3 linked regions of the Daphnia pulex genome follow. The protein of the gene in region 3 purifies or fractionates together with the protein of the main gene of each other region. This does not show direct contact. Links are inferred from orthologs where the notes say so. Each region holds a gene or a part of one and is shown on either strand. Other genes may lie near its edges.

Region 1 (4,259 bases), on a different chromosome or scaffold from region 3:
GTATAGGTCTCAAGTAGACAAACTTTTTGTAAGCTCCATGATTAAGTAGCGAGCGAACATAGTCACAAAATTTGACATCATCTCCTAGACAACGGGGTAACCCATATACACCTTGGTGTTGAGAGCCTAAAGTGACTAGATTTACCATCGGAGGATCAGGGCAACGTTGAGCTACAGCTCTCCTATAATAAGCAGAAAATTAAAATGATTCAAAGATAATCTTAACTATTCAACAATAAAGATATAATTACAAGAACTGCCCCCCTTGAGATACCCCTAATCCATGATATCCTAATGCTAATTTAGGGTCATTTTTGATCAGATCACACACAAATTCAACTTGATCGTTTGCATTCTTGATGTATGCATTTTCAAAATCCTACATAATATTGGAATTGTTGGTGTAAATTTTTAATTGAGCTATACTGAATTAATACCTCACGAATGGTCTTGCCAATCTTCAGCGAAATTACATAGACCTCAGGAATTTGTTGTTGTATAAATTTTTGTAGGCCCCCAATACTCAATGGATTGCAGCAAACATCACCTACATACCCATTTCAAAATTTATCATGAAATTGTGAATGAAGTAGAAACCTTAAATGTGATTACCTAATCCGTGCCAGATCACAATTGGTAGTATTGATAAAACCATTTGACAATTTATTAATAAGAGGAAAACACACATTAAGGGAAGTGTGTACTTCATTCTTGATTCTTTACCCAAGGAGGACTACTCATACACTTACGGGGTCAAGCTAATAAGTTGGCTTGGAATTTAGACAAAGCAGTTACGTAATTGAATTACAACCATGCACGAGTTTCTCACGTTGACATTTGACATTGACATTTGTGTATTTGACATTTCTTGGTGCTGGGCTGGCTTCAAAATTTATTCTTTTTTCAAGGTTAGTGTTGACTATTTTCAACAGGTGGCCAGGTTGGTTCATAATCGATCTCAATAGAGGGCTATTCAAGCGATCTTAAAAAAAAAGAATGTTGCAGGAAAAACAACAAAATCGTAAAAAGGTTATTAAAATAATTTAAAGTCGCTTCAAAAAAACGTAGAACTGCGGGTCATCGAAAGGGTGACGGCAAAATAGTTCACGAGTCACCACCGTTTTGGAGTTTTCCCATTTTTCTACGACACAACTTCCGTGAAAACAAGAACCCATTTAGAACTTAGTAAAATCAGATTTCCATTTTACCTCAGATTACCTTTTACCAAAACAAACTGGTATATCTGAGCGCTTTTTTTCTTTATGAGCCGTATTTCGTCATTAGCCACATTTTAGTGGGGCTCGGATTGCTCCCATGTGCTTGCGATTATAATGGACTCAACGTTGAATATTTTCTTCCATAATAGACGGCGACGTCTTTTTTAGATTTTTTTCTTTGTCCAACTTCAACTTGACGCACCAATCGAGGAATTTACTTTTTTTTGTTAATTACCTATTTACCTACCGTCTACCCTACCGAAATAAAAGACCGTTTTTTTCTAGCCGGTAGATGGCGAGAAACGAAACAACTGACAGAAATTCAGCAAAATGTCAGATTTTAATCATAAACATGAAAAGGTTACTTTTTTGTTTTATATAGGCCTACTTAGTTCTTCTTTATATCATTTGATTTTATTTGTTTTAAATACTAATTTTAAAGGTTTGAATATTAAACTCAATTTCTTGTTACAAAATTCAAATTTCTTTGCTGTGACTGGATACTCACATATATGACTGGTTATATTGACATATTGTATCAAACAAATAATGGGTTTAATTAATGATTGGTAAAGGTGCTGACAGGACTAGTCTTTCTTCAAGATGCTGCTTCTAGAAGTTCTCAGCTTACTAATGGAATGGTCAATATTTTGACTTCATTTGATGAAAGGCTTGCGAGACTTGAAAAGACCATTTTACCAGTCTACAATGAGACAAAAAATTTGCAACAGAAACAAGAAAGTAAATTATTAATGAGATCTCATATAATATCAATATTTCTTGTATTTCTAAATTTACAAAATCTAAATTTCTTTTTAACTTTCTTCGTGTTTATAGACATTGATAAAACATTAGCCTCTTTGGATCATGTCATTAGCTATTACAGTGTCAGCAAGGAAGTTGAGCCTGTCATAAAAGAGAGCCCTTCAAGTCAGGGTCTAGAAATTTTTCTCCAATCCCTCGGTCGATTGCAAGAAGCTATGCATTTCTTTGAGAGAAATAATCCACAGAGTGTGGAGTTAGAAAATGTTGTAAGTTTCATTTTTATTTACAATCACCATACCTTACAAACTTAAAAAACAACTTTTGTATTAGATGAGCCTATTTGAAACTGGCAAAGATAATATTATCAGCGAATTTAAAGAACACCTAGCAAAACATAGTCAAACCATTCCTGCTACAGCACTTTTGGAAGCTCTAGCAAATGATGAAGGTGAACCCCATTTATCTATAACTACCTGAAAATTCAATGTAATGTTCCATTTTCATTCCAGAGGAGATAAGTATAAATCACTTCTCTGCAGATGTGAAAGACAATTTGATGCAAATAGCTGATTGGCTTGTAACTCACAATGAAGATGACTTCATGAATGTAACTTGTAATCATCAATCATTAATCCACGACATATTAAATAAACTTTGTCACTGATTTACTTTCCAGGTTTACGCTCGGTTTCGCGCAAATACTGTGCAGAAAACCCTTCTTGGCCTTCGTGATCATTTGAGAAGTTCATCTACTGGGGTATCGAGTCACCAAGGCGTGAGTCCCGTAGCTGCCATGTCGGGAACGGCTACATTGCTGGTAATCTAATATTTATTGTGACTACTATTAGGCAATATATAATGAACTTCTTTTATAATTTTCAGGCAAAATCAGGTGTCAAAGCCAGTTATGACACTCCAAGTAGAAAGACATCTAAGAAACTACAGCAAATGCTTGAGCGCAAGGCCAACCAAATGCTTTTGAAAGCTTCTCAAACGTTGGAAAGCTCTACAGGACTGGCTTTGGGCCCCAGGAGAAGCGCTGCGGGTGAGAAGACGAAATTAAATTTATTTTACTTTTTCCCAATTATCATTATTGTTTCTTCTTCAGACAGTATAAAAGAAGATGCTGTCGAAGAACACGAAATCGAATCGTTCTTAACCGAATTCACGGCACTTTTGCGACTACTGCAGAGTGAACTGAGACTTATGTTGGGTATTGTCCCTTTGCCGCATCAAAAAGCTGTTCTGTCTATCATTCTCAGAGACGCATTGGAAATGATCTGTCACGATGCCGAGGTTGGAAATATTCTTGATTCAATTTCATCGGTTAGTCATTCTTGTACTTTACTAATTTTTAGAGCTTAAGCGGCCGAGCGCGCCGAAGTGTTTCTCGTCAAGAGTTCGGTCCCGTTTTGCTTCTTTTTCCTGCCTTACGCCATTTAGTGTGTTTTAAAGGCGACTGTGATAAATTGCTGGAAGGATGCGATTCTTCTGTTCGCACACGATTTTACGCAATGGTTAATAATCTCCATACAACCGTAAGCTAATAACTCACCATAATTTAGATTCGTTTTTATCACTGTGTTATTTTGTGATTGATTAGTGCGGCAAGGCCCTTGAAGACTTTGCAGAATCTGTGCGTTCTGAATCTGCAGCTCCATTGCCTAGAGATGGCACGGTCTATGAAATGACGAGCAATGTCGTTCTTTTTCTCGGCCAGTTGACTGATTTGTCTGACACAGTCGGTCCGCTTCTCGCCCAAGATCAAAGTTATTCCAACGCATTGGTACACACTCAACCCTGGCCGAAACCTCAGAGAAACAAAGCTTTACTAGGACTTTATATCAGTAATTCATTTTTCTTGTTCAGGTTTAACTTAAAATCTGGTTTGATTAACAAATTACCCTTTTTTTTTTAGAAAAAGTGTTGGTTCAACTAAATTTAACTTTAGTTACTAAAAGCGATGCGTACAGCGATTCTTCTTTGCGCTATATTTTTCGATTAAATAACAGCCACTATTTGTTAAGCGCACTACAGCGTAGTGGCCTACTAGACCTGTTGAAGGTAAAGCACAAAATTGTAGTCAAAGTAAATGTAATCACATATTTTGGTGTTTTTAGGTTGTGGAACCAGAATGCGAGCCGATTTACCGAGAAATGATCAACGAACAGAAGAGGCTTTATTCTCAAAGGTATTGATACTTTGTTCCTTTCCTTTGAATTTTTTGTTGAACTCACCGTTACTATTCAATTAATTAAATAACCTACAGTTGGAACA
Region 2 (4,253 bases), on a different chromosome or scaffold from region 3:
ATCGTGTAATGTATGCTGAACCGGGGGTATGTATGTACGGGGGCCGAGCATCAAAGCTGTTCTCTTTCAGTTTGGCTGGCTGTCTCTTCAAATCGTGTGTCAATCTGTTTGGATCGGACGCAATCTGTCAGTCCAGACAAATTTGACCTTTTCACTATTGCCATTAAACATGACCATCGATTACTGCTTTTTGCCATATTATCCTTTCTAGCGCAAGTAGAATGCTACAATGAATCATTTGCCATCAATTTAAAAGTATAACAAATAAATAAAGACTCCAGTTTGGGTTTATCGTAGTAGGTTATACATGGCGGTTGAACATCCGATGCAATGCTGAACGAATGAATTTACGAGCAGTGAAAAGAACAATACCGCTATTATGCCATAATAACGCCTACGGACAATATGCTAATTAACATTTGATGGAAAGAACAAAGTTTCGTCCTAATTTGCGTAAGATACTCGACGAATTAATGCAGCGCCTACGATCCTACGTGAAACAACAACAGTTTTTGTTCAAGAAATCGAGCATCAGATGTTTCTACAACGAAACAATCGCCTAAAAGTCCCGTGGGTTGCCATCTTTATAAACGATGCGTTAGTTTACATAATCCCGTTTTGTTTTCGCTCTGTTTTTCAGATAATGAGACGATCCCTTTTTTTTAGCAAGTATCTCCTATGTATTTTTATTTACTCGATGTATTATTAATGAACATCTTTGACGAAACAATCAACTTACCACTCTACATTTTAACAGGCGTGCTGTGTTGCATTATCATTTCCGCAAAACTAATTGGTAATTGGCTCAATGCTATTATCCCTTTATATTAAGGCAATTTGTTAGGCTCACTTGTTGTTTTACGCACAAACTATAGGATAAAACATAGTTGGACAACGTGCTGTGTTATAATAAGATAAATATTTGAAATTGGGCATTATCAAAAATCGTGAGCATAACGGGATGACTACCGGATGTGTAATTAACGTATAAAATCGATTTTCGAAAAAAACAAAGAAAAATAAAATGACAAAATGTAGAGTAGGCTACCTACCTTCCCAATCGATCCTTTCGCGTTTCCCCCTTACTAATACGGCGCTACGCCAGCCGTTTTTTTTTTTTTTTTAACTTTTAAAATTTTAATTAATAGATTAACCTTTAGTTACTTAAGAAAACAGTCAGCCTACTCGTTGTTATCAAGTGTCACACCCTACACACAAAAAACAAAAAACACCGTGGCTTTTCCCATACTAAGAAAAACTAATCTATAAGATATAGGTCATAGGGGGAGAAACCGAAAAACGCGAAAGAGATTAATTCATATTTAGGTGGGTGCTGTATTTTGTTAAGATGATTTCAAAGATATTGCGTAATAAATAGGAGAAAAATTAATTAAAATAAACCGGCAAAGGCGAGAAGAAATATTGGAAAATCGATTGTAAGCCCCAAAATCGATCTCTAATGAACGCCCAGTCGGCCCAGTGACGAAAAACTGCCAGAGTGACAAATCATGGAATAACAAATAATAATAAAATATTTATCTTAAATATACGAAGGTGATAATTCTAGCAACCACAAGGAGCGGAGAATCAGGTAATAATTGAGGAATCACTAAAATAACCCAAAACTGAATAACAATTGTGACAATTGAATGTTAAACTAGGTTGTCAACAAAACACAAGTTGTTTGTTGTTTTCTTGGTAGTTGTAGGTTTGTGATAATAGAGAAATGAATATTGAAGTTCTTCAAGAAGAGGCAATGCTCTCTGCTTCTGTTTCATTGTCATCAATGTTGCAGCGCCCTGATCAGCTTGAAAAGGTAAAAGCTCATTTTTTGGATTGTTTCCGTAAAAAAACCTTAAAATGTAAACAACATAATTATATGTTATAACCTGATGTTATGTTTATTTGTTTTGTTTTTGTTTTATTAAATTTAGGTGGAGCAGTACAAACAACGAGTAACTAGGAAAAAAACTTCAGTTGAAGCAATGCTGAAAACAGCTGTGCAAAGTCAACTTGATGGTGTGATAAGTGGGCTGCAACAATTGCAATCAGCATTGGTTGATATTAATGACATTCGTCATAGGTATCAAAGCACATTTAAAAATGTTCACAGATGACTTCTAGACTACTACAATTATTATATTGTGTTATGTTGGCATTTAAAGGTTACATGAAATTGAAGAGTGTGTCACAACAATTCCCACACTATGTGAAAGTGTTAAAAATGTAAGGCAAGAACATGTTGTTTATTCACAATATGCTGTTGCCATGGAAAATTTGAAACATATTTTCACTGTTCCAGAAAGGTAACTTTTACATAGTTTTTTAAATTTTAAATTACTGTTTTTCTTTCAATTGAACTACTCTAACTAATTTTCAATGGCAAAATTAAAAGACATAGTTTATAATCTGGGATACATTTTAGACTTTAGTCACTAGCTGCAAGTTATTGGCCAACTAAACATGAAAATATGATGCTAAATTAACTTAGAATTACCAGCTTAAATATAAGAAACTTAGAAATGTTATTATTTCATTATCAATATAGAATATAACCATTAAAAATCCGACTTTTGTTCTAGTGTCGATAAAACTCGCCAGTGGATATCCGAAGGAAAACTTCTTCATGCGCATCAAAGTCTTACGGATCTAGAGAACTCACGTGATGACTTGCTCTACGAACTCCACAGGTTACCTAATCATTCTTTGCAAGATAAGCAAATGCTTAAGGTCTGAACATATTTTCTATTTTTATTCGCACGATGTAAATATGTAATACTCATTTAAGGAATTGTCTCAATCCGACAGGCGTATTTTTCTGGAGTGCAACAGTTGTCAGAACAATTGGGAAAGCAGCTGTGGTTACTTTTGGGTAGATCTTTGAACACAGTTCGGAAGGAACCGCAAGTGATTGTTACAGCAGTTCGAATTATTGAGCGGGAAGAACGTGCGGATGCTTATGCGGTGCAGCGTCAAAAGCAAAGTGGATTCTTGCCACCGGATAGACCAAAAAGATGGAAAGGTGATTTTCAAAATGTTAGTGCACATTTAACACATTTAATCTGTCTTATTATATCAACTTTTAGCAAGAGCACTGGAAGTTCTATACGATGCGGTCGTTGAAAGAATAGAGGGCAATCAATTCGAAGAGAGAGCTGACAATAAAATGTGGCTAGTGCGTCACCTTGAGGTGACTCGTTTGCTGATTATCGAAGATCTTCGTGTGGTGAAAACTCTGTGCGCCCCTTGCTTTCCTCCTCATTGGGATATCGTCAATCAGTTTTACCAGAAATATCACACGAGCATCAGTAAACACCTCGAAGAAGTGATTACAGCTGGCCTGGTTGGCAATGAATTTGTTACACTGTTGTCATGGGTGCTACAGACATATCCAGGTCCAGAGCTTCTCCGACACCAGGATGTCAACATCGACCCTACTTCCTTAGGGCCAATTTTGAGCGATTCTACCATAGAAAAGCTTTTCCAGGTAGCTCCAGAAATTTGTCATAATCTGCTCCTTTATACGTAACTTATGACATTTGTACATTTATTTAGGAATATATAAGTAATATGGCCTCAAACTACAACGACTGGATGCAAAAGACTGTTGATGCAGAGGCCAGGGATTGGAGACGACCCATCGTTCCGGAATCGGACGGCGATGGTCATTATCACACCGAGTCGATCGTTATCATTTTTCAAGTAATTATTCTTAGTTTCTTTTGGCAAATCGTGATGTAAAACGATTATTCACTTTTCGTTTTAACTCATTGTTTAGATGGTGGAGCAAAATCTAAGTGTGTCGCGTACAATAAGCAACGAATTGATGATGCGGGCATTGATTTTGGGACTGGAACAAATCACGCAGTATGGAGAGATGTACCGAGAAGCGATAAATCTTTTCAAAAACAAACACTTTGAAGATAGAAGCCAAGTATTTGCGTCGCAATACAGTTACATTTAGTGAATTACTAATTGGTTCTCTCTCTTTCAAGGTGCCTTATTTTACACACTACATGATCGCAATTATCAACAACTGCCTGCACGCGATGGAACTTTCTCAGCAAATGAGATCTCGGAATGGGAATAAGGGTGATCAAAGTGGCACTTCATCATTTTTCAACAAATTCGAAATTCTTAGCCAAACTTACGATGTAAGGCCTATAACCTATTACTAGTTTAAAGAGGACCCAAACTAATAGTGATTTGAAAATCAGAGCCTTAGGAATGAGGCAGCTGGATTTTTGCTAGAT
Region 3 (4,034 bases):
TACTCAATTCCCGTCATTATTTCGTAATAACAAGTGGTTTTAGTTCTTATGGGAGATAAGCCAGTCTGATAGACGCACTATCAGTAATTTGTACCTGAGACATTTAATTGGCCGCCAACGAACCAACGGAATAAGCCCGTCTCCATATCGCAATCCGAGACTTTTTCAAAATTGCGACTCCAGCGCAGGCGCTCCAAAGCTAGCGTACCCCAGAACAGGTCCGTCTGTCAAAACGCCAATTGAAAATTAAATGCTAAAATTATGCTGAGGGCTACAAAATTTTCATTAGTACGTTTCAAACAAGTCATAGCGCTCGAAATAACTGGATTTCATAAATCAAAGTTATATTCAATTCATCCACATTTGGCTGTATTAGAAAACTAGTGGATGCTGTAGGCAAAACGCCACGAAAACAAGATTTTCGAAAGCAGCGCAAAACTTCTTCCGTATTCAACAATAATCGATTGTTTTACACGCATACACACGTACTAGCCACATCGTCAAATATTTGATCTGTCCCTCTAGCTACAACCTTATTTTTAACCTTCAAACACAAAATCAACAAGGTAACACAAGGTTGTCTATAGCGTCTACGGCTCTACGTGGGCGCAGCATACGGTTGACAAATAAAGCCAACAAACCTCATTGATGCTGAAGTTGTAAAGTTCCTCGTAACTGGAACAGCCAGGAAAAACATCTTTCAGCTCAGGTAGACTAAACACGCTGGCCGTAGGTGAATCCATTGCAATTTTTCAAAAATCAACGACCGTCGTTCACTAAACAAGAGTTTTCGGCGATTTTCCTGTGTGCACTTATGGGTATGATGAATGTTTGATTCAAGTAGCAGAAGTGTTCACTGTATAACTAGAATGTATGTCAGGGAGCATCGAAACTTGTAAGTCCAGCCAGTCCACTCAACAGCCAAGGACTGTGATCCAAATGGGAAATGACAGAATGCCAGTGGCTACTAGACTCTTAGCGCAGCTGTAAACATACAATTTTTGTAAACATCGATTTTTTAAAAGATCGATAGATTAACTTTTGACATTTCTAATTTCTAAAACAGAAAAGTATTTATTAATTGAAGTTTCCTAAATGAATTTATGTTTAATAATTTATAACTGTATCTTGTGTATATTTGTTTATTAATCTTATAAAAAATAAATATTTTCTGTTTTGGTATTCATCCATAGATGGCGCAGTATATGCAAGTTGCAGTAATACAAATACATGACAGCGATTATGACCCCAGTCTCGGAATTCACCACAATATTTTGAAGTAAAAAAGTGATTTGTTGAAATTCCATCATGGACTTCCTTGCCGAAATGGAGCAGGTTTGTTGCGTGTTAAAAATGTTTGTAACATTTCTAAAACCGTACCACCGTTAAGGAGCCGTTTAATCCAAATGAATTCGTTGAACGTCTTGCTTGGATGACTATGGGCGTATCACATTCTTCTTCCGGCAGCGACGATTCTTTTTCCGCGACTGGTCTCTTGAATAATTTTGAGGAAACCATAAAGTAAGACACTTTACAAGGCCTGCGTTTGGTAAACACCTCATTGTTGAACATAAATTCTAGGCATCTCCAAGTTCTTCAGGTTCGTGTACAGGGAAAATGTGATAAACTTGAAACTGCTTGTAGAGAAGAGGAAAATAAACATTGGCAAAAAATGGCAAAACTTGAAGAGAAAAATAAGGTAATATTAAATCTACTTGTTGTAAAGTATGTTTTTTAATGCATGTCTTATTCAGGCTGCTGTGGAAGCATTTCATGAGTTGGACTCTAGGATAAATAATGTTGCAACAAAAGTTGTTTACTTAGGAGATCAATTGGAGAATGTCAACACTCCTAGATCTCGTGCAGTTGAAGCTCAGAAACTCCTGACCCATTTCAATGGATTTATTAAGCCTGGAGGGCCTTTCTCGCCTGTTTTTAGCGATAAGGAACAGGTGTGTTTGTTTAATATTTGAATGACGACACGTATTCATTATGTCCAATGTTCTTTCAGTTATTTGAAGCAGCAGACATAATCCAAAAATTACAGTTAGTTGCCCAAGAATTGCCTTCTAGCAAATACAGTGGTGCGCAGAAACAAATTGCGCAAAAGTACGACGAAATTGAGCGTTCGTTAATTGAGGAGTTCGCGAAAGCCCAGGTAATTAAGAATTTAATGTAAATCCATACTCACTCGTCTAAGCTTTACCGATGAGAATTCTTATGTAACCACAAGCAATCGCTCGCTCTATTAAATTTAATAACGACTATATTTGTTGACACAGTTAATTGAATTTAAATCCTTATAGGTCAAGGGAGATCGCGCTCAAATGAAACATATCGCCTCTATTTTAAGCCACTTCAAGGGATATTCCCAGTGTATCGACGCTTTCATTGAGCAAAGCCAAGCGGTATACACGATAGTATTTAGTATTTTCTTAGAATGAATATTAAAAGTTTTTATTTTTGCGATCAGGGTGCATTTTCTAGTGGCGACGTATTTTTAGATGTTGTCCCATTGTGTGAACGAAATGCAAGAGAAATGAAAGAAGTCTTCCATAACCCTGAACAAGTTATGGGAAAATTTATCCTCAACATTTTTTATGGGAAACTTCAGGTTTTGCTAATTACTTGATTTAAGAAGTGAATCACACGATAAATTTGCTCATGCTATTAGGGAACCATAAGTACTAATTTAGCAGATCGATCCAGACCCGATATTTATTTAAAGCGTCTGCATGAATTGTACTCCAGGTAATTGTCCATTACTTAAAATCATACATTTCTCCTATTTTGACCCAAAAATTTCTTTAAAAATAGGACAACAAAGTTATCGATTGATTTGGCACGCTACGACACTGGCAACGATCACGCGTTTCTATCAAAACTGGTGAAGAACATCTTTCAGCGTTATTTGGAATCATACATCAGGTGAGACCTTTTGAACGACTAACACAATAAATGACTTATATAATTTGCGTCATTGATTTAGCTTGGAAATTCGAAACTTGAAGGAGAGAAGTGCTACCGTTTTAAAGAAGTTCTACGAATACAAAAATCACCAAAAGAAACCTATCAACACTGGAGGGTAAAAGAATTGTGTAACAACTCCTAATCGTGCACCATTTTGAAAAAAAATTTCAACGTTGCAGGATTCAGGAACTAAGGCGGGATTTGCAGGCAGTCATCGTAGCAAAAACCGGTGCTGTCTGGGAAACGCATGGTGGGGAAACGTTTCTTTCAGAACAAATCGCCGTCAGTTTATTGGATGAAACCAAGCAGGCCCTCATCCGATGCCATTCCGTAAGCTCATTCTTTATTTAACTGCTTCGATCCCACTATTGACCTTTATTTCCTCGTTAAATTAGTTATCACGGTCGTCAGAATGTGCCGCCAACGCTGTTCAAATTTTGGATGTCTTGTTCCAGTTCCTTATCGACGAATTTCTTGATTATGCCCTCGAAATCGGTCTACAGGTTTTGTATTACATCGATAGTTGTTGGCGAATAAAATATTTAACTTCCTTAATTGATAAATAGGCTATACCGCCAGGAGAAAGCAAAGTGCAACCAGAGTTATATTTTTTTGGTGTAGTTCGTGAAGTCAACGCCATTGTTCATCTAATGGATAAACTTTTTCACGATAGCATTATCCCTTTGGTGGTGTAAGTTAATTCAAATATTTATGTTTGAGTCCTATTTCATAATTTGCTGTTTGTACAGATCTACTCCTAAGCATGGTGAATGTTTACAACGAAAGAAAACTATCTCAGAGCAGCTAGAAAACAAACTAGAAATTGGAGTCGATCGGTCTCTATCTGCCATCGTGGGTTACGTTAAAGTGACCCTACAATCAGAACAAAAGAAAGGAGACTTCAAACCAGAAGGAGATGAAGCTGTCATTGCATCTCCCGTAATTGTGCTTCTAACATTTCATATGACATTCGGCTAAAATAATTTGAACCCAATCTAGGCCTGTATTAAAGTGTGTCGCTTCGTCTCGGTCCAAACTGAGAGGATCAGAAATTCTCTTGACGG

Evidence for each region.
Region 1: the proteins of exocyst complex component 5-like (region 3) and exocyst complex component 7-like fractionate together in Homo sapiens (co-fractionation; 4 studies listed by BioGRID and IntAct, with this or other methods). This does not show direct contact. The link is inferred for Daphnia pulex from reciprocal best matches to the Homo sapiens genes EXOC5 and EXOC7.
Region 2: the proteins of exocyst complex component 5-like (region 3) and exocyst complex component 3-like purify together in Homo sapiens (affinity purification with mass spectrometry; 7 studies listed by BioGRID and IntAct, counting the BioPlex papers as one, with this or other methods). This does not show direct contact. The link is inferred for Daphnia pulex from reciprocal best matches to the Homo sapiens genes EXOC5 and EXOC3.

What each region holds. Positions count from the first base shown.
Region 1 is NC_060020.1:3,980,212-3,984,470, reverse strand, and holds the start of exocyst complex component 7-like, read left to right. Parts: upstream 1-1,445; 5' UTR 1,446-1,547; coding exon 1,548-1,577; intron 1,578-1,713; exon of another isoform or gene 1,714-1,736; intron 1,737-1,792; coding exon 1,793-1,958; intron 1,959-2,054; coding exon 2,055-2,248; intron 2,249-2,312; coding exon 2,313-2,430; intron 2,431-2,491; coding exon 2,492-2,589; intron 2,590-2,658; coding exon 2,659-2,799; intron 2,800-2,864; coding exon 2,865-3,027; intron 3,028-3,090; coding exon 3,091-3,278; intron 3,279-3,340; coding exon 3,341-3,520; intron 3,521-3,585; coding exon 3,586-3,829; intron 3,830-3,900; coding exon 3,901-4,046; intron 4,047-4,102; coding exon 4,103-4,173; intron 4,174-4,251; coding exon 4,252-4,259. Other genes in the region: palmitoyl-protein thioesterase 1-like, read right to left, coding at 24-182, 252-379, 438-547, 613-709. UniProt on the Homo sapiens protein: Component of the exocyst complex involved in the docking of exocytic vesicles with fusion sites on the plasma membrane.
Region 2 is NC_060017.1:4,105,253-4,109,505, reverse strand, and holds the start of exocyst complex component 3-like, read left to right. Parts: upstream 1-1,439; 5' UTR 1,440-1,591; intron 1,592-1,661; 5' UTR 1,662-1,726; coding exon 1,727-1,816; intron 1,817-1,934; coding exon 1,935-2,083; intron 2,084-2,165; coding exon 2,166-2,306; intron 2,307-2,582; coding exon 2,583-2,730; intron 2,731-2,808; coding exon 2,809-3,022; intron 3,023-3,086; coding exon 3,087-3,487; intron 3,488-3,555; coding exon 3,556-3,702; intron 3,703-3,778; coding exon 3,779-3,934; intron 3,935-3,995; coding exon 3,996-4,154; intron 4,155-4,217; coding exon 4,218-4,253. UniProt on the Homo sapiens protein: Component of the exocyst complex involved in the docking of exocytic vesicles with fusion sites on the plasma membrane.
Region 3 is NC_060021.1:6,829,960-6,833,993, forward strand, and holds the start of exocyst complex component 5-like, read left to right. Parts: upstream 1-1,197; 5' UTR 1,198-1,308; coding exon 1,309-1,335; intron 1,336-1,390; coding exon 1,391-1,521; intron 1,522-1,581; coding exon 1,582-1,699; intron 1,700-1,754; coding exon 1,755-1,952; intron 1,953-2,011; coding exon 2,012-2,158; intron 2,159-2,306; coding exon 2,307-2,408; intron 2,409-2,473; coding exon 2,474-2,614; intron 2,615-2,674; coding exon 2,675-2,751; intron 2,752-2,817; coding exon 2,818-2,928; intron 2,929-2,989; coding exon 2,990-3,085; intron 3,086-3,149; coding exon 3,150-3,300; intron 3,301-3,365; coding exon 3,366-3,473; intron 3,474-3,536; coding exon 3,537-3,661; intron 3,662-3,719; coding exon 3,720-3,909; intron 3,910-3,969; coding exon 3,970-4,034. Other genes in the region: acetyl-coenzyme A synthetase 2-like, mitochondrial, read right to left, coding at 95-224, 642-743. UniProt on the Homo sapiens protein: Component of the exocyst complex involved in the docking of exocytic vesicles with fusion sites on the plasma membrane.